Oryctolagus cuniculus: one gene and its partner. The protein of the gene in region 1 purifies or fractionates together with the protein of each later gene. This does not show direct contact. Links are inferred from orthologs where the notes say so. Each region holds a gene or a part of one and is shown in the gene's direction. Other genes may lie near its edges.

What was found.
Region 2: the proteins of HCK (region 1) and HSP90AB1 purify together in Homo sapiens (affinity purification with mass spectrometry; 3 studies listed by BioGRID and IntAct, with this or other methods). This does not show direct contact. The link is inferred for Oryctolagus cuniculus from reciprocal best matches to the Homo sapiens genes HCK and HSP90AB1.

Annotation. Positions count from the first base shown.
Region 1 is NC_091442.1:25,721,468-25,732,512, reverse strand, and holds the start of HCK (tyrosine-protein kinase HCK), read left to right. Parts: upstream 1-6,002; 5' UTR 6,003-6,170; intron 6,171-11,045. UniProt on the Homo sapiens protein: Non-receptor tyrosine-protein kinase found in hematopoietic cells that transmits signals from cell surface receptors and plays an important role in the regulation of innate immune responses, including neutrophil, monocyte, macrophage and mast cell functions, phagocytosis, cell survival and proliferation, cell adhesion and migration.
Region 2 is NC_091436.1:125,875,920-125,886,356, reverse strand, and holds HSP90AB1 (heat shock protein HSP 90-beta), read left to right. Parts: upstream 1-752; 5' UTR 753-959; intron 960-2,112; coding exon 2,113-2,259; intron 2,260-2,594; coding exon 2,595-2,801; intron 2,802-2,884; coding exon 2,885-3,044; intron 3,045-3,135; coding exon 3,136-3,269; intron 3,270-3,379; coding exon 3,380-3,694; intron 3,695-3,972; coding exon 3,973-4,138; intron 4,139-4,292; coding exon 4,293-4,483; intron 4,484-4,590; coding exon 4,591-4,738; intron 4,739-4,823; coding exon 4,824-5,092; intron 5,093-5,445; coding exon 5,446-5,779; intron 5,780-5,871; coding exon 5,872-5,981; 3' UTR 5,982-6,029; exon of another isoform or gene 6,030-6,066; 3' UTR 6,067-6,244; downstream 6,245-10,437. Other genes in the region: SLC35B2 (adenosine 3'-phospho 5'-phosphosulfate transporter 1), read right to left, coding at 6,810-7,748, 8,418-8,572, 8,735-8,931, 9,437-9,447. UniProt on the Homo sapiens protein: Molecular chaperone that promotes the maturation, structural maintenance and proper regulation of specific target proteins involved for instance in cell cycle control and signal transduction. Undergoes a functional cycle linked to its ATPase activity.

The DNA of each region.
Region 1 (11,045 bases):
TCTGCCTGTCAAAAAAAAAAAAAAAAAAAAAAAAAAGAAGTGGTTTCTATTCACTGGTTCACTCCCCATCCTATTTTATATGACGTAATGTCAGTGAAGGCAATGGCCTGATGAGGTAGATACTCTCTTCCACCCCGCAGAGAGGACTCAGCCAAAGTCACCTGGGTGACAGCCACCCACTTACTGAGCCAGCACCTGCTGCCTCTCAGAGCTGCATGGGTGGGAAGCTGGAACCCAGAGCCAGAGGCAGGAACTGAGCACACAACCCCGGGCATGAGAGGCAGCGTCTTAACCAGAGTCATTGTTGCTAGGACAAACACCTGCCCCACTTGTGGGGTTTTGATAGGGATTGTGTTGGGGCGCAGCATATAAAGCCACCACCCATGATGCCGGCATCCCATATAGGCACGGGTTCGAGTCCCGGCTGCTCCACTTCTGATCCAGTTCCCTGTTAATACACCTAGGAAAGTAATGGAAGATGGCTTAAGTCCTTGGGCCCCTGCTGCCATGTGAGAGACCCAGAAGAATCTCCTGGCTCCTGGCTTTGGCCTGACCCAGCCCTGGTCACTGTAGCCATTTGCAGAGTAAACCAGCAGATGTAAAATATCTCTCTCTCTCTCTCTCTCTCTCTGTAACTCTGCTTTCAAATAAGTTGATGAATCTTTATATATATATAAAATGTTTTGTACATTTCAGAGTATCTTGCACTTTTTGTTAAATCAACTATTTTTGCTGATATAAGTAGAATTGTTTTCATAACTTCATTTTCAGATCATGCATTGCTAGTATATAGAAATACTATTGATTTGTATATCTTCTTACTCTTTTAAAATATTTATTTATTTATTTGAGTGGCACAGAGAGAAGGAGAAACAGAGATGGGGGAGAGACAGAGACAGACAGAGAGAGAGGGAGAGACAGATAGAGAGAAAGAGAGAGAGAAAGAGAGAGAGAGAGAGAGAGACTTCCATCTGCTTACTCTCCCAAATGCCTGTAACACGCAAGCCTGGCCAAGCCGAAGCCAGGAGCCAGGAACTCCATCTGGGTTTCCCCTGCGAGTGACAGGGACCCGGGCACTTGAGCCATCATCTGCTGGTCCCAGGGTGCATACTGGTGGATTGGAATGGAAGAAGAGGCAGGCTCCACCCCAGGCACTCCAGTGTGGGATGTGGCATCCCAATCGTGTCCTTACCGCTGTGCCACAGGCCTGCCCCTCCTTACTCTTTCTTTCTTTTTTTAAAATTTATTTTATTTATTTGAAAGATAGCATTACAGGGAGAGGTAGAGGACAGAAAGAGAGGTCTTCCATCTGCTGGTTCACTCCCCAGATGGCTGCAACAACTGCAGCTATGCCAATCCAAAGCCAGGAGCTTCTTCTGGGTCTCCCAGGTGGGTGCAGCGGTCCAAGCACTTGGGCCATCTTCTACTGCTTTCCCAGGCCACAACAGGGAGCTGGATCGGAAGTGGAGCAGCTGGGACTAGAACGGGCCCCATATGGGATGCCGGTGCTCCAGGCCAGGGCTTTAACCTGCTGCGCCACAGTGCTGACCCCCCTCCTTACTCTTTCTAACACTGCTTAATATTCCATTGTTGTCTTAATATTTACACTCCTATTCCTTCATTCATGGGCACTTGGGTTGTTTCCATCTTTCCCTGGTAGATGGTAAACAGCAGTGCCAGGGTGTGAGCTCCGGTTTGACCCCAAAGATGCAGTGCGCAGCACCCCTTCTGTGGTCAGCTCTGTTTCCCACGACAAAAGGCCTGTGACCTCAAGGCCTGGTAAAGCATTTCTTTAGAATAGAATGTGCGGTTGTAGATGTTCTCTCTGATGCACATATAAAAGTTGTTAAATAAAACATGGTAACACCAGACGTGGGCGAGGAAATCAGCCAGCACTGGAGACGTGCAAAGGAGCAAAACCACTCTGAAAGCCAGTGTGGCAGTTCACCGCACAGCTAACCATACAGGACTCCAGTCCTAAGTATGTACCCAGGAGAAATAAAAACACATCCACGCAGAGACCTGTGCCTGAACGCCCGTAGCCGCTTTACTTACATGGCTGACAACTGAAAGTAACCCACACGGCCATCAACAAGCAGATGGATGAACAAATACTGGGACACGTGTGCAATGGAATAGTACTCAGCAGTGAGAAGGGATGGACCAATGGAACGTGTCATAACTTGTAAGAGAAGACAGCAAAAAAATACTGTATGATTGCACTTACGTGAAATTCCAGAAAATACAAGGCTAATCTGCAGTGACAAAAGGACAGCCCATGGTTACCAAGACTACCTAAGGGCAAAAAGATGAAATGCCAAAAACAGAACATAAGGGGATTGGGGGTGGGGCGATAGAAATGCTCTTCATCTTGGTGGGGGTGGCAGCACACAAGTGCAGGCTCTATTTGCCCGAACTCATCAAGCTGACAATTGTAATGGCACATTTTGTTTATCAAAGCATTCCACAGTGATGTTTGATGCAGCTTTGGGTACACAAGGACTTTATCACAGTGTCACTCTAATAGCAGAAACATTGGTAGAGTAGAAGAATGCTTCAGTTCCCCAGGTATCAGAATGCTAAAGTTTTGCAAGGAGAGGGATTGCTACTGCTAATGGCCCTTTAAGGTGCCCTGGGCCTTTACCAAGACATGCATTTCTCTCCTTGGAGGCTCCTGGGTGGCTGGAACAAGTAGAGGGCAGGCCAGAGGTGCAGGAGGATTCACACCCTCCAGGGCATCCCTCTTCTAACTGGAGGACTTGGTGCACAGGCATGCAGGGGTATGGTGCAGCTGCCTCCATAACCCCGTGGCAGACTTGAACTCCTGTTGCACACCGTGGTCACTTGATTGACAATGTTCCCCTCGCTGGCTTCCTTCCTTCCCCCGTGTCATTCACCGGCTTCCCTACCAATGTTGTCTGCATCTCCTAAATGAGCTATTTTCACTGGAATCCATGTCCGTGGGCTGCTTCTGGGGAACTCGAATAACACTGGCAATGATGCTGAGGGACAGTAAAGATGCGGCAAGTGACAGAAGAGAGAGCAGGGTGATGACCATTCTGGAAACACCTGTCATTCTTGGCAAATGAAGTTTTTTTTTTTAAGATTTTATTTATTTATTTATTTGTAAGGCAGAGTTACAGACAGAGAAAGGTTGTCCATCTGCTGGTTCACCCCCCAAATGGCCACAATGGCTGGAGCTGAGTTGATCCAAAGCCAGCAGCCAGGAGCTTCTTCCAGGTCTCCCACGCAGGTGCAGGGGCCCAAGCACCTCGGCCATCTTCTACTGCTTTCCCAGGCCATAGCAGAGAGCTGGATCAGAAGAAGAGCAGCCAGGACTTGAACTGGCACCCATATGGAATGCTGGCACCACAGGCAGAGGCTTAGTCCACTACACCACAGAGCCAGCCCCAAGATTTATTTATTTATTTGAAAGTCAGAGTTACGGGGGGCGGGGGGGTCTTCCACACCCTGGTTCACTCCCAAATAGCTGCACTGGTGATGGCTGAGCTATGCCAAATCAGAGTCAGGAGCTCCATCCAGGTCTCCCGTGTGGGCGGCAGGGGCCCGAGTACTTGGCCATCCTCCACTGCTTTTGTCCCAGGCCATTAGCAGAAAGCTGGATCAGATGTGGAGAAGCCAGGACTCAACCCAGCACCCGTGTGGGACGCCAGGGCCACAGGCAGCAGCTTCACCTGCTACACCACAGCGTCAGGCCTGAAGTCTTTATAACGGCCTCACACAAGTCCATAGGGAAGGTGCCTGAGGATGTCCATTGTGGTATTGTCGACAGTGGTGGGAAACTGTGCAGTCTAAATGTCCATGAACAAGAGAGTGAGAAATTAGAGGTGGAGGATATGAAAGATGACCGCATGGCAGTTACCTTCTGCAATCTGGCTACGGTGTCAGTTTTCTATACTATAATGAGCCTGAGGCAGGCTAGCTTTACAAGCAAAAGAGGCTTATCTTCACTCATGGTTCTGGAGGGTCAAGGTCCAGAGTAGACTGGCCCACTGGTTTGCCCTCTGATGATGGTGTCCTTGCTGGCAGGGTCCTGGAGCAGCACGTAGCAAGACAGGGAGCTCACTTGTCTCTGCATCTCCCCTCCTTGCAAAGCTACCGGTGCCCTAACGACCTAATCCAGTCTAATCAGGTCCCTGAGACCCCCGGCTCTGAACGCAATTGGATGAAGTCTCGAACCTCTTGGTGCAGTGCCATTAGTGTGTGACTTTGGCGAGTAAACTCCTGAAGCTTCCTTTTTCTCGGTTAGTGGGTGATATTCAAACTATATATGTATTTTTTTTAAAGATTTGTTTATTTAAAAGGCAGAGAGAGAGAGACAGAGAGATTCTTCCATCCTCTGCTTCACTTCCCAAATGACCACAAAGCCAGGAAGGAGCCTAGAACTCCTTCAGGTCTCCCATGTGGGTGGCAGGGGCCCAAGCACTTGGGCCATTTTCTGCTGCTTTCCCATGTGCATTAGCAGGGAGCTGGATCAGAAGCAGAGCAGCCAGGACTTGAACTGATGCTGTGTTATGGGATGCCGGCATTGCAGGCAGTGGCTGAACCTGCAGCACCACAACACCGACCCCAGCAGCCAGATTTTTAACAATAGCCATGGAATAAGAAAAAGAAAGTACAACACTGAAATGGTGCCATTCAAGTACATTAAACCCACAGCACACATAGTTGGAACACACCAACTATGGAAGGCCAGGTTCATTGTCTTTTTCATTCTTGGTTGCATGTCCCCCTCTCATGCCCCGGGGGGCACGGGGCTGTGTCAGGACACAGCTGCAGGTGTCTAGAGGGCAGAGCACAGCAATGCTGCTAGACATCCCAAACAGGACAGTCCAGGGCAAGCAACTATGCGGCTGACAGCCCCAGCACAGTGCCCGCCGGGAAAGGGCGAGTGTGGGGTGATGGCGTGAATGAGTGATGGCTGTGCTGAGCCTCAGGATGGGGTGCGGTAGGGATTCCGCAGAAGTCCAGGTCAGCCCCTGCAGGTTCCAGGAGCTGGCGTGCCTCGCCCTCACCCGTCCCGTGCTGGCCTTGGTCGCCTCCAGCCCGACTTCTCGCTGCTGCCCGGAAGCCGACCCAGGGCGAGCCAGGGAGATCCCCATGGGCCAGTGGATTTGCATGGTCAGTCCAGGGGAAACTGCTGACCATGACAGGGCAGAGGAGGTTCAGGACACAGTATGGGGGGATGGGCAGGGCATGGAGGCAGCGTGGGCTGGAAAAGGATCAGACTGGGAGAGAGGGGAGAGAGCCAGGGGACCCTTCCCGGCCTGTTTGATTACTTGAAGGCGGCATGGATGCCCTGGAGGCCAGAAGTTGGCATTTTTGGTGGCTGCGATTGAAGTCCTGGGGGTTAAGCACTTGGAGTGGGAGGATGACCTAGGGGCAATGTGGGAACCCCGGGTTGGGGTTATAAATCTAGGAGTGGGGTCAGGGATAGAACCCTTTGAAGAGGGGTTGTTAGGACCCAGCAGGCTAAACACTGCTGGCAGTTCCAGTATCCCATATGGACACCTGTTTGAGCCCTGGCTGCTCCACTTCCGATCCAGCTCTCTGCTTGGGCCCCTGCACCCGTCCAGGAGACCTAGAAGAAGCTCCTGGCTCCTGGCTTCGGATCAGCCCAGCTCTTGCCATTGTGGCCATCTGGGGAGTGAACCAGCAAATGAAACTCTCTCTCTCTCTCTCTCCCCTCTTCCCTCCCTCTCTCTCTCTCTCCCTCTCTAATTCCACCTTTCGAATAAATCAATCTTAAAAAAAAAAAAAAAAAAAAAAAAAAGAACGCATTGGGAAGGTGTTGGGGCAGTGGCAGGAGGGACGCGCCCCCAGGGATGGTGGATCCTGGGAAGAGCTGGAGGCCTCTGCCGGATGGTGACCTCGTTCAGGATGACCGGGGCGGTGTTCGGCCCCTTGGGGGCGGGGTTAGCCTCTCCCGAGCGCGGCCGGGGCGTCACTGCGCCCCCGGTGCCAGCAGGGGAGCTTGGCAGTGCTTTGCGCCCGGAGGAGTCCTCGAAGACCGGCACGCCACCCAGAGGTCTCCCAAGTCCGTCTTCCTCTCTGCGGGCGGGCCCCCGAGGCCCGGGGGCTGCTGAGCTGGGGGGGCGCTCGAGCTGCGAGGATCCGGGCTGCCCGCCAGGCGAAAAGCGGGCGCCTAGGTGAGTACCGCGGGCGCGTCCTGGGGTCACCTGGCCAGGGAGGTGGAGGAGCTCCGGCTCGTGGGCAGGGCCGGCCGCAGATGGCAGCGAGGGGAGCAGGGGTGGGCAGTAGGTCCCCAGGGGACGAGCGGGAGTAGGGGGGCCGGGGAAGAACTCGTGCGGCGGAGGGAAGGGAGCCGCGCCCACGGAGACGCTGCTAGGGCTGCGCTTCTCTGCGCCGTCCGGGTTCCCCTTCTGCGGGGCAGGGGGAGTTATCACCCCGAGAAGGAAGGGACGCGGCCGCAGGGAGCGCGGGAGGGAAAAGCCCTTCGGGTTCCCGGTGCGGGTGTGTGACGGTCACGCCAGGCGGGCAGCGGCGCGGGCAGAGGGGCGGCTGGGCGGAGCGTGACGCGCGCCACACCCAGGCCAGCTGCAGCTGGGTCGCCGGCTGGGCTGGAGCCCGACCTTGGGAGGTCTGGGTCACCACCGGAAGCTCCTGGACAGCGACCAGGGGACTAGTGCCCAGTCCCGCGTGGCAGTCCTTGGGCAAGTCAGCCTCTCCAAAACGCGGCCACTGAGTCTTCCTTCCCAGGCCGCGCCGCTCTGTGAGACGTGACAGGGCAGTGCAATGGTTAGGGCCGGTGAGGCAGACTGCCTGCTGGGCCTTGGGGAAGAGGTCTGGCCTTCCTGTGCCTGGGTTTCCAAAACCCAGGATGGGGGCACACAGGGCAATCCAGGAGGAGCAACCTTCATCGAAACACTCAGGATCAGATGGGATTTGGATTTCAGATTTTTTTTGTTTAGGAATATTTGCGTTTACATATATGGGACGGAAGTCTGAGCACCAAGCTCATTTACATTTCATAAATTCATTAAGAAAGCCGCCCACTTGGGGCAGGCGTTGGGCAGAGTGGTTCAGTCGTCCCTTGGGACAACCATGTCCCACATTCAAGTGTGTGGCTGAGTCTGGGTTCTGCTTCCAATCCCACTTCCTGATAATGTGGACCCTGGCAGGCAACAGTGATGGCACGAGTCCTTAAGTCCCTGTCACTTCTGCGGGAGACCTGGATTAAGTTCCTGGCTCTCAGCTTTGGCCTGATGCAGGCATCTGAGGGGTGAACCAGCAGATGAAAGATCTCTCTCTCTCTGCTTCTCAAATGACAAAAAAAAAAAAAAAAAAAAAAAAAAAAAAAAAACTAAAAATAAAAATAACAAATAAAACTGAAGCACCCCCCCACACACACACTTTGTCCTCTTTCTCTTTCTCTCCTTGCCCAGAAGGAAATGCTGTCATGGATTAATCCTTCCAGTCTGTGTCTTTATTTTTTAAAAAGATTAATTTATTTATTTGAAAGAGTAACAGACAGAAAAAGAGAGGTCTTCCATCTGTTGGTTCACTCCACAAATGGCCACAACAGCTGAAGCTGGGCCAGTCCAAAGCCGGGAGCCAGAAGCTTCTTCTGGGTCTCCCACATGGGTGGCAGGGTCCCAAGCATTTGGGCCATCTTTCGCTGCTTTCCCAGGAGCATTAGCAGAGAGCTGGAGCAGAAGTGGGGCAGCCAGGACTCGAACCAGCACCCATGTGGGATCCTGGCACTGCAGGGGACAGCGTAACATGCTTCACCACGGCGCCGGCCCCCGGTCTGTGCCTTTATACATTTGGTGTACATCTCTGCATAAGCAATCCAGAGTGATTTCCAGTGTCTTCAAGAGCTACAGTATCTCCCCGTTACCCCCCGGAGTATGTTCTGAGGCCTAGGGGCTGCCTGAGCCTGCTTTCCTCATACCCAGCACTGTATGGCATCTCTCTGGCATCTCCAGACTGCCAGCGCCATGCACCTGTGCTTGGAGGCCACAGTAAAATGTGAACATAAGCACTGTGATATCGTAGCAGTGTACCTGAGAGCCGAGACAGCTACCGAGTGGCAAGTCCGGTACACAGCCTGGACACGCTGGGTGATTCGTATCCCAGGCAGGCTGGCATGGGACAGACAAGGTGGGATTTCAACACGCTGCTCAGAACAGCTGGCAGTTTGAACCGTAAGACTTTCTTATTTCTAGAATTTTCCCATTTAGTACTTTCAGACCACGATTGACCATGGGTAACTGAAACCAGGCAAAGTGAGATCGTGGATAAGGGAGACTGCTGTACACGCCCTCCCGGTGAGAGCCTCCCACCCACACGCACTTCTCACGGCTGCGCTGTCCATGTCTTTCCAGGATGAGCCACAGAGGTGTCATTCTTCCCCTCTAACCACCGTGGCGCATCCAGCAGGCGGCCAGCTTACATGCTCATTCCCTGCAGATGGGCATTCAGGTCGCTCCCAGGTGTTCCCCACGACAAACAGCATTGCCGGGACTACCCTGCCTGGACAGGGGACCTGGGACCCTTGTGCAGCTGTTTCAGAGGAAAACACCAGGGCTCGGCGGCTTTCCACCCTTCCCATCACGTGAGAAGACCGAAGGCTCTGCCCCAGAGAGGGGGGAGAACCCGGCTCTGCTGGCCTCCCGCTGTCTCTAGACCCGTGGCCATGTGCCTGGCGTTTGGTAGGGACTCAAAAAATGGAAGCATGAGTTTTTTTTTGTGACAAACATGTTAGTATATAGTGCTGAATATATCATTTTTATCCTATGCATTTGCTTAGCGTTATATTGGAAGCATTTTTCTCCATCATTGAAATATTATTACATTTTAATGACTCTATAATATTCCATTGTTTGAAAACACCATAATTTGTTTAACCTTTCTAGCAGAGCACTCTTACGTAGTTTGTGATTTTAAAATATCCTAATTGAGCTGAAACGCACATATCTGTATTAAAATCAACCATTTAGTGCAGCACGTTAGGCCTCGCTTGTGACACTGGCATCTCATACTGGAGTACTTCCTATTAATGCACCTGGGAAAGCAGCAGAAGGCGGCCCAAGCACTTGGGCCCCTGCACCCACGCGGGAGACCAGGGATGCATTCCTGGCTCCTGGCCTCAGCCAGCTATGCCAGCTATAAGCTATGAAAAGAGCAGAGTGTGTGGGCATTGTGGCTTCAAGGACTCCATTTGTGGAGGACAGTTTTGGGGGCCGTTGAGCTTGGAGCACCCAGCAGGTCGGCATGGATGTTGCTTCAGCTGGCAACTGGCCCTGTCTCCTGTTCCTATATGCAGGCGGCTACCTCTGCACAGAGAAGCTTTGTGCCTCCAAGCATGAGCTACTCCAACGGCATCCCTCCCTTCGTTTTTTTTTTTTTTAAATTTTTTTAAAGATTTATTTTATTTATTTGAAAGAATTACAGAGAGAGGTAGAGATGAGAGAGAGAGAGAGAGGTCTTCCATCCGCTGGTTCACTCCCCAATTGGCTGCAATGGCCAGAGCCGAGCTGATCTGAAGCCAGGAGCCAGGAGCTTCTTCCAGGTCTCCCACGTGGGTGGCCATCTTCCACTGCTTTCCTAGGCAACATCGGAGAGCTGGACTGGAAGTGGAGCAGCTGGGACCAGAACTGGTGCCCATACGGCATCCCTCCCTTTAAACACACGCTCCGGGGTGTCCAGGAGGCCAAAGGGCACTTCACTGAATTATTCAGCAGGAATTTATTGAGCAATTACTGTGTCCTGGTTTTACCCCCACGGATGGATCCGTGAGCAGAACAGAGTCCGCGCCGTCCTGTGTCTTAAACCGCAGTGGGGGAGATGAGCCATCAATCGATGGGGTGACATTCGGTGTGTTAGCTCAGGGCCTTTGAGAAGCAGACTCCCACAGATTAACTGCGCTAGAAATATATCACAGGAAGCCCCCAAGAGAATACGGGGAGAAACCACGAGAGGCTCGGAGAGCCGTCAGGTGGCAAGGCACAGCTGATGCCTGAAGAAGAGGAAACGGACAGAGAGAGTGGAGAAGGAGGGAGAGAAGGAAGAAAGGAGGTGTGGGGAGAGGGAAGGGGGAGGCACAAGTGTCCCAGGCCACGAGGGAGGTCTAAGGAGAGCCGGTCACAGACCCCTCCATGCGGGGCTGCCCCAGTGTCCCTGCCGTGCTCTGTGGCTGGCTGGAGCAGTCTGTGGGACAGTGCTGAGAGGGTCAGAGCACAGCTGTGGCCTCGGGTCGGTTATGCTCCCTGCAGTTGACCGCCGAGAGGTGCGGCCCCAGAAGGCCACAGTAAGATGCTGTGGGCCAAGAATGCGGGGAATGACGGGGACAGAAAGTAATGGGAGTGGGGGCAGCGGCTGAGGACAGGCCTCTAGGAAACTGAGATCTGCACAGAGATCCGCCGTGAACAAGCGTTTCTGGGTGAAGAATATTCCAGAAGGCAGCACATGCACTGGCCCTGCAGTAGAAGCGTGGTTCGCATGTTGGGAAAAAGCAAGGCGAGAGGTGTGCGTATGGAGAGGAATGATCTGGAGCGAGCTGGTGGGGACAGGTCTGCGAGGGTGAGCGGCCGTCTGAGCACAGAGGCCTGCCCCACTGGAGAGGGGTCGTGCTCAGGGGCCCAGCAAGGGTTCGAGCAGAGGGGTGTGGCCTGGTTGACATCTTTGAAGGTTCACTTATTTGTAGGAGGCAAAGTGTGGCTGCAAACCCAACTCCTTCAGACTTCAAAGTCACATCCCCTGTTCCCCAAACTGCCCTGGCCCCTGTCCACTCTAGAGAGAAAATTCTTCCCAGGAGGCTCACAGCTGCCCTGGAATTCTGGACTTGACTGGGTGGCCCCAGGGTAGTGAGCAGGCTAAGAATTCACTATGTGGTTGCAATCCTGCACCTCAGAGCTCACCTCCAGCTGAGCCAGGCAAATGGCCGGAGGCCTTGAGTTTGTCCTCAGTGTGTTGTTCTGTCATTCAGCGCCGTGTGAGCCCGGGCACACCCCTCCCCCTCCCTGGGGCTGTTCCTCCGTGTGTATAATGAAGGCAGTGAT
Region 2 (10,437 bases), on another chromosome or scaffold:
GATTGGGGGGCTGCCGCGAAGGCTCGGGAAGGGATGGGCACCCCCAGTCTCGGCTTGGATGGAGGCGCCCGAAAAACATTTCCGCTGCCCGAGGTGTGCGGCCGGCGGGAGAGGCGGAGGGCCAGGTGCCCCTCAGCGGCGGGGCAGTGCCGCGCTCCGGGGGCGGACGAGGCGGGTAGCAGGGCCGAGCAGCGGCAGCCCACCCGCTCCGCCCAGGGGTCGGCCCGAGCTGCAGTACCTACACTGCCCGGGCCGCAGCGCGAGGGGAGGAGCCTCGAGGGGAGGCGGCGGCGGGGGCGGGGCCGCCGAGACTGGCCTGGAAACTGCTGGAAGTGGCCGCAGCACCGCTGCCGCCGCTCCTTCCGCCGCACGCCAGCAAAGAGTCCCCTCCCTCCCGGGCCGGCGCCCCTCCCCCGCCCCAGGGGGCTGCAGGCAGCTGGGCCGTTCGCCGGGAGGAGGGGGGATATATGTGGCAGATCCTAGTTAGACGACTGGGTGGGAGTGACTACCTCTGCTCGCTTCAAGTCCCCGTCGGCTCGGCCTCCTGGTTGTGGGAGGGCTTTTGGGGGAGCCGGTGGGGTCCTCGCTCGCAGATCCACTGTTGAGGCATATGAGCACTCTCAGTCCCTAATCGTGGCAGGGGTCACGCCCTGGCCGTGCAGAGAACAGGAGCTCACGAGCCCACACCGAGGCTGGCGGCTCTGGCTCTTCCCCGCCCGCCCCCTATTCCGGACCATGACGTCAAGGTGGGCGGGCGCCGGCAGGTGCGGGGCTCGCGGGCGTCCGCCTTTAAGGCGGAGGGATCCGGGGGAGGCGGCTGGGCTGTGCTTCGCCTTATATAGGCTGGCTGGGGGCTCCCAAGAGCTCTCTTGAGTCACCCCCGCGCTGCCTCGTGCCGTGTGCGGTTGGCAGTCCGGGCCCTCCGTGCTCTCTCGTGCTCGCAGCCCTTTCCCTTCAAGGTAAGGCAGCCGCGTCCCTGCAGGCCGTTCCCCCGCGGGTGCTGTCGCTGCGCAGCTCGGGAGCCAGACGCCGCGGTGCGGGGCGGCCCGTGGGTCCCCGCGCGCTCGGGCTGCGGGGGTGGTGCGTGGAGGCTTTCCAGCGTCCGGTCGGCCTGCACCGGCGCGCCGGGCCGGCGGCGCGGGGCCGCGGCGGGGGCCGGCTGCACGTGGTGGCCGCGCCGGCCCGGGGCGCTGCCATGTTTGCCCCTCCACTTCCGGACGCGGCTACGAGGGCCGCGAGGCGGCCGGGTCCGCGCGCGGGTGACTCAGCACTGCGCGCCTGGGTTGCCGCTGCTGCTCGGCCCTCGAGGTCCGTGCGGGACCCGCCGCGGGCAGAAACGCATTTGGCGTGTGGCAGGTCTTTTCCGCAGCCCTCGAGTGGGAGGGGACAGGCTCTGGAAGATTCATAGGCTCCCTCCCCCGCCCCTCCCCGAGCGCGGAGATTGTTCTCGAAGCTTCTGGAGCCCGATGCTCCGCCCCAGTGCCCGGATGCTGGGGCGATGGCGAGGCGCGCTGTGGCGCCCCCTTCTCGCGGGGCTGCGGCCGACGCATGTCCGGCAGTGACGAGGGTCGGTCCGCGGCCCCGGGCACCATTTTACTTGGGTGCGAGCAGGTGCTGGGGCGTCACGGGGCAGCCTTCGCCTGCTCTGTTCTTTGTCCCGCGTGGACTGCCCCGCGAGCCGGTTACCGCTGTTTCTCGGGTGTCAGTGTGCCCTGCCGCGTGGGGCTGCGATCGGGCCTTGGGCGCATCCACACTACAGGGGTAGAAGAGCTGCCTACGGGCGAGCAGTTTGAGAATAAAACCAGCGCCCACATCAAAGAGACGTGTGGTCAGTGATGCTGGCGTTTGAACGTGGGGCGGGAGTCCCTTGTCTGGGTTGGGACCAGCGTGGTGAGCGGCTGCTGGTCACCCCTGCTCCATGCTACCTGCTTGTCTGGTTGAGGAGGGCTTTGCTCTTGACCTGACTCGGTGGTTGTTAGTATTCACCCCACAGGTTTTAAGAAAGGGCGTGTCTTCAGTAACCCCGCCCAAAGCAGTTTAAACACCATCTGAATTTCAGAAGCGTCAGTTCTGGGGCCGCTACCTTCCTGATTCTTGACCCTCCTGTTCCAGATGCCCGAGGAAGTGCACCATGGAGAGGAGGAGGTGGAGACTTTCGCCTTCCAGGCGGAAATTGCCCAACTCATGTCTCTCATCATCAACACCTTCTACTCCAACAAGGAAATCTTCCTGCGGGAGCTGATCTCCAACGCGTCTGATGTGAGTTCCTTCGTGTTTCATGGCTGGCTGGGCTCCTCCCGAAGGGGGAAAACTGATTGCTATTGAAGGGGTTTGTCCGGGTGCTCCCTGGACGAGCGGGCCAGTGTGACCACGCGGCTCCTAGTCCAGTGAGGCCCAAGGTTCTCACTTCCAGGGGTATTTCAAGGACGCAATTTTCTGTTACCATTAAATGGCACGTTTATTACTCACTCTAAGAGTTCACAGTTCGTGTAGGATGATGGGGCAGTCAGAGTTACAGCGTGAGAGTAGCAATCCAAGAGGTTCCTAACGCTGAAGAGACGGCTAAGAAATCCGCTGTTGGTGCTGCCTTGCAGGCCCTGGACAAGATCCGCTATGAGAGCCTGACGGACCCCTCCAAGCTGGACAGCGGCAAAGAGCTGAAGATCGACATCATCCCGAGCCCCCAGGACCGCACGCTGACGCTGGTGGACACCGGCATTGGCATGACCAAGGCCGATCTCATCAACAACTTGGGGACCATCGCCAAGTCGGGGACTAAAGCCTTCATGGAGGCTCTGCAGGTAGGTGGCAGCCAGCCCTCGACGTGCGGCCGGGCCTCTGTTCTCTGCAGGACACGAGTCTGACCGTTCCCGCTTCTCTGCAGGCTGGTGCCGACATCTCCATGATCGGGCAGTTCGGCGTCGGTTTCTATTCTGCCTACCTGGTGGCCGAGAAGGTGGTCGTGATCACAAAGCACAACGATGACGAGCAGTATGCCTGGGAGTCTTCTGCTGGGGGCTCCTTCACCGTGCGCGCCGACCACGGTGAGTGGCCGGGAGGCGCTGCTTCACAGGGCGAGTGTGCAGCAGGCGGTCCTGGGGCAGCTCGCTCACCGCCTGCCCTCCTGGTCTGCAGGGGAGCCTATTGGCCGAGGCACCAAGGTGATCCTGCATCTCAAGGAGGACCAGACTGAGTACCTGGAGGAGAGGCGGGTCAAGGAGGTGGTGAAGAAGCACTCGCAGTTCATAGGCTACCCCATCACCCTCTACGTGAGTATGCTTCCCGCGGAGGCAGCCTGCCTGTGCTTCTGGTGGGCTGGGCCATTTGCTTGCCCTGAGGGTCGGTGCTCAAAACTGACGAGTGTTTCTGGGTGCTTTAGTTGGAGAAGGAAAGAGAAAAGGAAATCAGTGATGATGAAGCAGAGGAAGAAAAAGGGGAAGAGAAAAAGGAGGAGGAAGATAAGGAGGACGATGAGAAGCCCAAGATCGAAGATGTGGGCTCCGATGAGGAAGATGACAGCGGCAAGGACAAGAAAAAGAAAACCAAGAAGATCAAGGAGAAGTACATCGATCAGGAAGAACTGAACAAGACCAAGCCCATCTGGACCAGAAACCCTGATGACATCACCCAGGAGGAGTACGGCGAGTTCTACAAGAGCCTCACCAATGACTGGGAGGACCACTTGGCAGTCAAGGTGAGAGGCCTTGGGAGTGGGCCGGGGTGGAGAGGCAGGGGGTAGCCCAGCTGAGAACCGGGAGCATCGCTGATGGCCCTGCCCGAGGACCTGGCTTTCTCTCCTGGTGGAAGTTCAGGATTTTATGCAGCTGGGACCAGCGTAGGTGTGTTTAGGGCATTAGGAATCATGTCGCAAGTGCTTGGGGGACGATAATTCCAGGTTGGAGTCTAGTTGGGACTGAAGGGCACCCTGGGCCTGGCGCGTCCTGCTGGCTTACCTTGGGTCTCCTGTCGCAGCACTTCTCCGTGGAAGGTCAGCTGGAATTCAGGGCTTTGCTTTTCATCCCTCGCCGAGCTCCCTTTGACCTCTTTGAGAACAAGAAGAAGAAGAACAACATTAAGCTGTACGTCCGCCGTGTGTTCATCATGGACAGCTGTGATGAGCTGATCCCAGAGTATCTCAGTGAGTATGGCCTTGGCCCGGTGGCGTTGGAGGGGGCTGCAGGCTTCATCCCAGATAGTGGTCCAGGGAGAAAGCCGGACCTCGTGTGCGCATCCGGGTGGCTCTGTCCAGTCTGGCCTGGTCTTGACCAAGCTGCCGCACTGCCTGGTTGCAGACTTCATCCGTGGCGTGGTCGACTCCGAAGACCTGCCCTTGAACATCTCCCGCGAAATGCTGCAGCAGAGCAAGATCTTGAAAGTCATCCGCAAGAACATCGTGAAGAAGTGCCTCGAGCTCTTCTCCGAGCTGGCGGAAGACAAGGAGAACTACAAGAAGTTCTATGAGGCCTTCTCCAAGAACTTGAAGGTGAGGAGCGAGTGGCTTTCTCCCTTGGGGCACGTTTGGGTACGTGGTAAGTGGGTCGTTCAAAGTTCTAGCCCAGCTGATGGTGGTTTCTCTTCCCGCCCTTAAAGCTTGGCATCCACGAGGACTCCACCAACCGGCGCCGCCTCTCTGAGCTGCTGCGCTACCACACCTCCCAGTCTGGAGACGAGATGACTTCGCTGTCTGAGTACGTCTCTCGCATGAAGGAGACACAGAAGTCCATCTACTACATCACTGGTGCGTGCGCGTCTGGGTCTGAGGCGGGCAGGGGCTGGGCAGGGCAGGGGCATTCGTGTCTGAGTCCCATTGAATGACCTTGCAGGGGAGAGCAAAGAGCAGGTGGCCAACTCGGCTTTCGTGGAGCGCGTGCGGAAGCGGGGCTTCGAGGTGGTGTACATGACAGAGCCGATCGACGAGTACTGCGTGCAGCAACTCAAGGAGTTCGACGGGAAGAGCTTGGTGTCTGTGACCAAAGAGGGCCTGGAGCTGCCTGAGGACGAGGAGGAGAAGAAGAAGATGGAGGAGAGCAAGGCGAAGTTTGAGAACCTCTGCAAGCTCATGAAGGAGATCCTGGATAAGAAGGTTGAGAAGGTGAGCACCTGGGGCTCAGGTGTTCCGCACTCCTTTGGAGGTGCAGCTTTGCGTGCTTGCTGTGTGTGTCAAGATTCAAGGGCAGGGTTGGAGAGGGCACAATGGCTTGGGGTAAGCCAGGCCAAGGAGCCTGGAACTCCAGGTCTCCCTGGGAGGTGGCAGGGGCCGGAGCTCTTGGGCCATCTTCCTAGGCACATTCGTAGGGAGCTGGCTCTGAAGCGGAGCAGCTGGTGATGCCAGTGGCCCTGCAGTGAGTGGTTTTATTCAGGAGTTAGGTGTGAGCTGTCTCTAAGGCTTGGCAAAGATGTAAGGCTGACCTCCACACACACCTGAGGTTTGCTGGCTGTTTGCAGGTGACAATCTCCAATAGGCTCGTGTCTTCGCCCTGCTGCATCGTGACCAGCACCTACGGCTGGACAGCCAACATGGAGCGGATCATGAAGGCCCAGGCACTTCGAGACAACTCTACCATGGGCTACATGATGGCCAAGAAGCACCTGGAGATCAATCCCGACCACCCCATCGTGGAGACGCTGAGGCAGAAGGCCGAGGCGGATAAGAACGACAAGGCAGTCAAGGATCTGGTGGTGCTGCTCTTTGAAACTGCGCTGCTGTCCTCCGGCTTCTCCCTGGAGGATCCCCAGACCCACTCCAACCGCATCTATCGCATGATCAAGCTAGGCCTAGGTATGGAGTGAGCAGTGCCTGGGTTCCGGGTGGGGACACCCTTCCCTCCCTCCGTGCTGTGTGGTTGGAACCTCCTATTTTCTGTTTCCTAGGCATTGATGAGGATGAGGTGGCAGCAGAGGAACCCAGCGCAGCTGTTCCGGAGGAGATCCCCCCTCTCGAGGGAGATGAGGACGCCTCCCGCATGGAAGAAGTAGACTAGGAACTCCTCGGAAACTCCTGCCCTCTGTATAGTGTCCCCGTGGCTCCCACAGCAGCCTTGAGTGGCCCTGTCCCACCTGGCTCCCCTGCTGATGTCTAGTGGTCTCTCTCCTGTCCTGTGTCTTATGGCAGGAAACAAAGGCCTCAAGCCCCATCCCCTCCTTAATTTGACAATGGGGTTGGATGTTGTGTATTGTGGGTTTTTTTTGTTTATTTTGTTCTGAAATTAAAGTATGCAAAATAAAGATGACGCCGTTTTATACAGTTCTGCTCTCCCTTGTAAAGTGGATGCACTGCTTTTGGTGTCCAGCAGTTGTGAGCACAGAGGGCTGTGCTGGTGTTGCTCACCCCAAAGCTAAGGGGGTAGTGGGGGTGCCCACCCTGCAACCCTGTCCTCCCAACCCCTTCAGTCACCTGACACACAGGACTTGTCCACTGCAGCAATTTAATAAAATTATAAAGAGCAAAACGACATTTCCAGAGTACCAAAGCCTGCACTAGCTCACGGAGCCAGCTCCCTCAGCACCCTGTCACCCGCCTTGAAAAGCAGCACTTGGCGCCCCAAACACTTGTGCTGTGCTTTTCCCCACAGTTAAACGCAGGTGTGGGAGGGAAGTCCCCGATGTAGGGGCTAAGCACAGGTGAAGCGCTGGTGACAACAGGTAGGCTCGACACCCCCCCAAGCCCCTCAGGAGGGCTGTCAAACAGGTGACTTAAGGCCAAGGGGAAGTCTGCCTCGGGCTCCCCGCCCGCCAGCTGCACATTTTGCCCTAGAGCCAGTGCCACCAAGTAGAGGAGAGCCTGGGTGGTGGGCGGGGCCCCTCCTGCCTCAAACCTGCTGCACTGGGGCCTCCCCAGGCACCACCTTCTTTCCCCTCTGCTTTAGTCGCCCCCGGGCGTAGACTCTGAGCAGGAGCGCAGCGAAGACCACAGCCACCCCCAGCCCGCCCACCACAGTGACCGTGTGGCCATAGAGGAGGCAGGAGAGGAGGATGGCAAAGGCCTGGCGCAGGGTCATGATGATGGTGAAGACCGCCGCCCCGAACTGGCCGATGGTGTAGAAGATGAAGAGCTGGCCGCAGGCTGAGCACACCGACAGCAGCAAGGCGTGGGCTGCAAACTCGCTGTGGCGCCCCATGAAGCGTGTCCCCTCCAGGAGGGCCCCCTGCTGCAGCAGAGAGCCGACCGTGAAGAGGCAGGAGAAGAGGTTGACGCCGAACATCATCTGCACCGATGACATCTTATAGGCAAACAGGGCATCCTGCCAGTTTGAGGTGAAGCTGTCGAAAGCAATGTAGCCTGCCAGCAAGATGAGGCCTGAGAGCGTGGTGGCCGGGGAGCTGCGGGGCTCAGGCCCGCTGGACAGCAGGAACATGCTGACCCCGACCGAGATGAGGCCGGCCGTCAAGTACTCCCAGTGTTCATAGCTGCGCCGGGACACCAGCTTCCCCATCAGCATGACCGGGATCACCTTGGAGGCCTTGGCCAGCACCTGGGTGGGGAAGCTGACGAACTTGAGCGCTTCATATTGGCACCAGCTGCTGAGCACGTTGGAGAAGCTGGCAAAGGCGTACCGGTACATGGGCGCCCCGTGCCGGGGCTGCTTGCACAGGAGGCAGTAGAGGCCGGCCACGATCAGTGCCAGCACACGGTTCATTAGCACCAGGAACTGGGAGTCCGTGAAGCGCTCACCTGGCGACGTGGCAGTGGCCCCATAGCTTCGTGTCATCACCCTCTCCTGCAGCACACCCCAGGTCAGATAGGACACCTGGGAGGGGAAGGCGGGGACAGGACACGGTAAGCAAAGGCAAGGCTCAGCTGCCCCCTTCCAGGGGACGGCTACGCGACAGAAGGGACAGCACCTTTTGAGACTTCTCTGCGCTCCAGTGTGCAGGGAAAACTTCATTGGAACAAATGCTTTAGGGCCGCCCAGGCACTTCCTGTCCGCACGGATGGTACAAGGGTATGTTAAAGCTGACTCCACCCAAAGCAGTCTCCCAGCTAGATACTTTGAACCAATTCAGGTCGGGAGAGGCTCGGTCGCTCCCAGTGCCGTCCCACCGGCGTATGGGGGGTGGGGCTGGTCCCCAAGCCACAACTGTGGCCAGGTCCCTTATCTTAGCGCTCCTGGAGTACAGTGCTGGGGGAAGGCTGCATGGCTCCCCCAGGCTCCCATCGGGGGCTCACAGCACAGGACATGCAGCGGCCCAGGGCAAATCAGAAAAAAGAGGTTACACGAGGCCCGTCTTCAGTACTAGATACCCCAAAGCCACGGCGGCAGTGTTGGCAAGGCGCACAGGGACGAGGGAAGGAGGTGGGGCAGGGAACCCACCAACCAGCCAACCATCGGGACCAGTAGGGTGAAAAACCTGGTTTCACACTCCCTGCCCATTGGAACCCGGCCAGGAAGAAGAGCAAGCAGGCCCTGCCCACGTACCTGGAGCCCCGAGGCACAGAAGAGCAGCTTCAGGGCCTGCCAAGTGGGGGTGGTCTCTGCTGTCTCCGGCCGTGGAGCCAGGGGAACCTCATCAGAGGCCTTGGGCTCATTGCCAAACACACAAGCTTTCACCAGGGGGAAGCAGAGACCCCTGCCTGAAGAAGGCACACACAGTCAGGTCCCAAACCTTCTTCACAGCACCTGTCTTGCCCAGAGCAACCAGCCCGTCCTGCCTCCCCGCCTCCCCTCCCGGTGCAGCGCTGGCCAGCAACCTACAACCTGGGCCCAAGCCATGTCCCCACCCTTTCTTCACACACCTGTCTCCAGGTAGTTCTTCCGCTTGAAGTACTGCACCAGAAGGTAGCCAGGTACCATAAAGCTGGCATAGCCAGCAGCATTCACCAAAAAGCGGAAGAACCATAGCTGGGTCCAGGACTCCGGAGGGGCTTCGGGGGTCTCCCCACCTGCGCCCAAGGCGGGGAGCGCGGCCAGCACCAGCACGGCCCACCACCTGCTGGGAGAGCCGACACCAGGGTTAGGGCGCGCTTCTTCATCCCCTCGGCCCTGCAGAGGGGGCCACGCTGGAGACAGGCCCAGTCTCCTCCCCGCCCCCCTCCACCGCAGCCCAGCCCGGACAAAGAGCCTCTCTCTCGGGGGGTTCGGCGCGAGCCAGGCAGGGCCTCCTCTTTCCCGGGGGGCGGACCCGCCTCTCCGGTCACACAGGTCTCCTCTGTTCCCTCCAGCGCCCGCCGGCTGTTCAGGCCAGAGGCGGCGCCCCCTCCCCCCACCACGCCACCCCCACGTTCCCGGGGCGCCAGGGTCCCCAGCCCCGCCGCCTGACACTCCCGCAGCCCCCCAGGGAGCACAAGCCCACGCCGCGGCCCCGACCCGCGCCGGCTCCGAACAGCGCTCTGCGGGCCGGCAGCGGGGGACCCCACCCGGCCCCCCGAGCCGAGGCGCGGCAGTCACGTGGCCCGGGGGCTCGGTCACGTGGGCCGGCCGCTGCCCTAGCCCCCCACCTGGGGTCCATGGTCCGGGCCGCGTGGGGCGGAGGGGGACCGGGGAATGGAGTCCCCGGGCCGCGCTCGCCCTCCGCTCCCGCCGCCGCCGCCGCCGCCTCCGGGAGCAGCCAGTGAGCTAGCGGCTAGCGGAAGTGCCGCGCTCTTCCCGCCTCCCTCCCCGCGGCCGCCCTCCGCCCCCTGCCGCGACCACGCAGCGCCCGCGGCCGCCGCCGGCTCACAGCGCCCCCGTGCGGCCCGGAGGCAGCCTCGGCTCGGTTCCCCGGAGCCGGCGGGGCTGGGAGCCCCAGCCCTGGAGGGGTGTCCGTGGCCTCGGCGGCGTCATCGCCCTTCGCGCTCACGCTGCGACTCTGCGTGCCAACAAGCACTGAGCCTCATGTGAGCGTTCCCGCTTTCGGACGGCACGGGGAGATGGCCTGCTTTTTGCGGCCGGCACCCAAGTTCTGCGGTCCCACTCCCCGGGACCTCCGTGGCACGCCGTGACCCGTCTTGGCTTCCTCGCCCACCCCTTCTTTAAGACACCAGAGGCCTTCCCCATGCAGTGCGCCCATCCGTGCGCCTCTCAGAGGGCTGAGAGGATAAGCACACCTAAGTCGGCTTTCTCAGCAGGTGCTGGCAGCTTGGGGAGCTGCAGTGAGGGCCCATAAAGGCCCCCCTAGCACGTGGAATGGGAGAAAAGCCCTTTTCCCTGTGCCCAGCTTCCCCTTCTCCCCGGGTTGCTTCAGATGCCCCGCGCCCCCCACCCTCCATTTCTCCTCCCCCTAACCCCCTCAGCACGTTCACAGCCAGGACAAGCCCCCAAACTTCACCCGGCAAGGCCCCACCGGGCTCTGGGCTCTGGGCCCTGGGCCCTTCTAAAAGTCCCCGGCGGCGCATACAGCCATGCACGTGCACAGAACGACTCTGGCAGGGAAAATCTTTCAAAAAGTCTGCATTTAGTGTCATGTTACTGAAACTGCCCTTCCCCGATGCTCAGTTCAGGGCCTTGGGTGGGAAGTCTT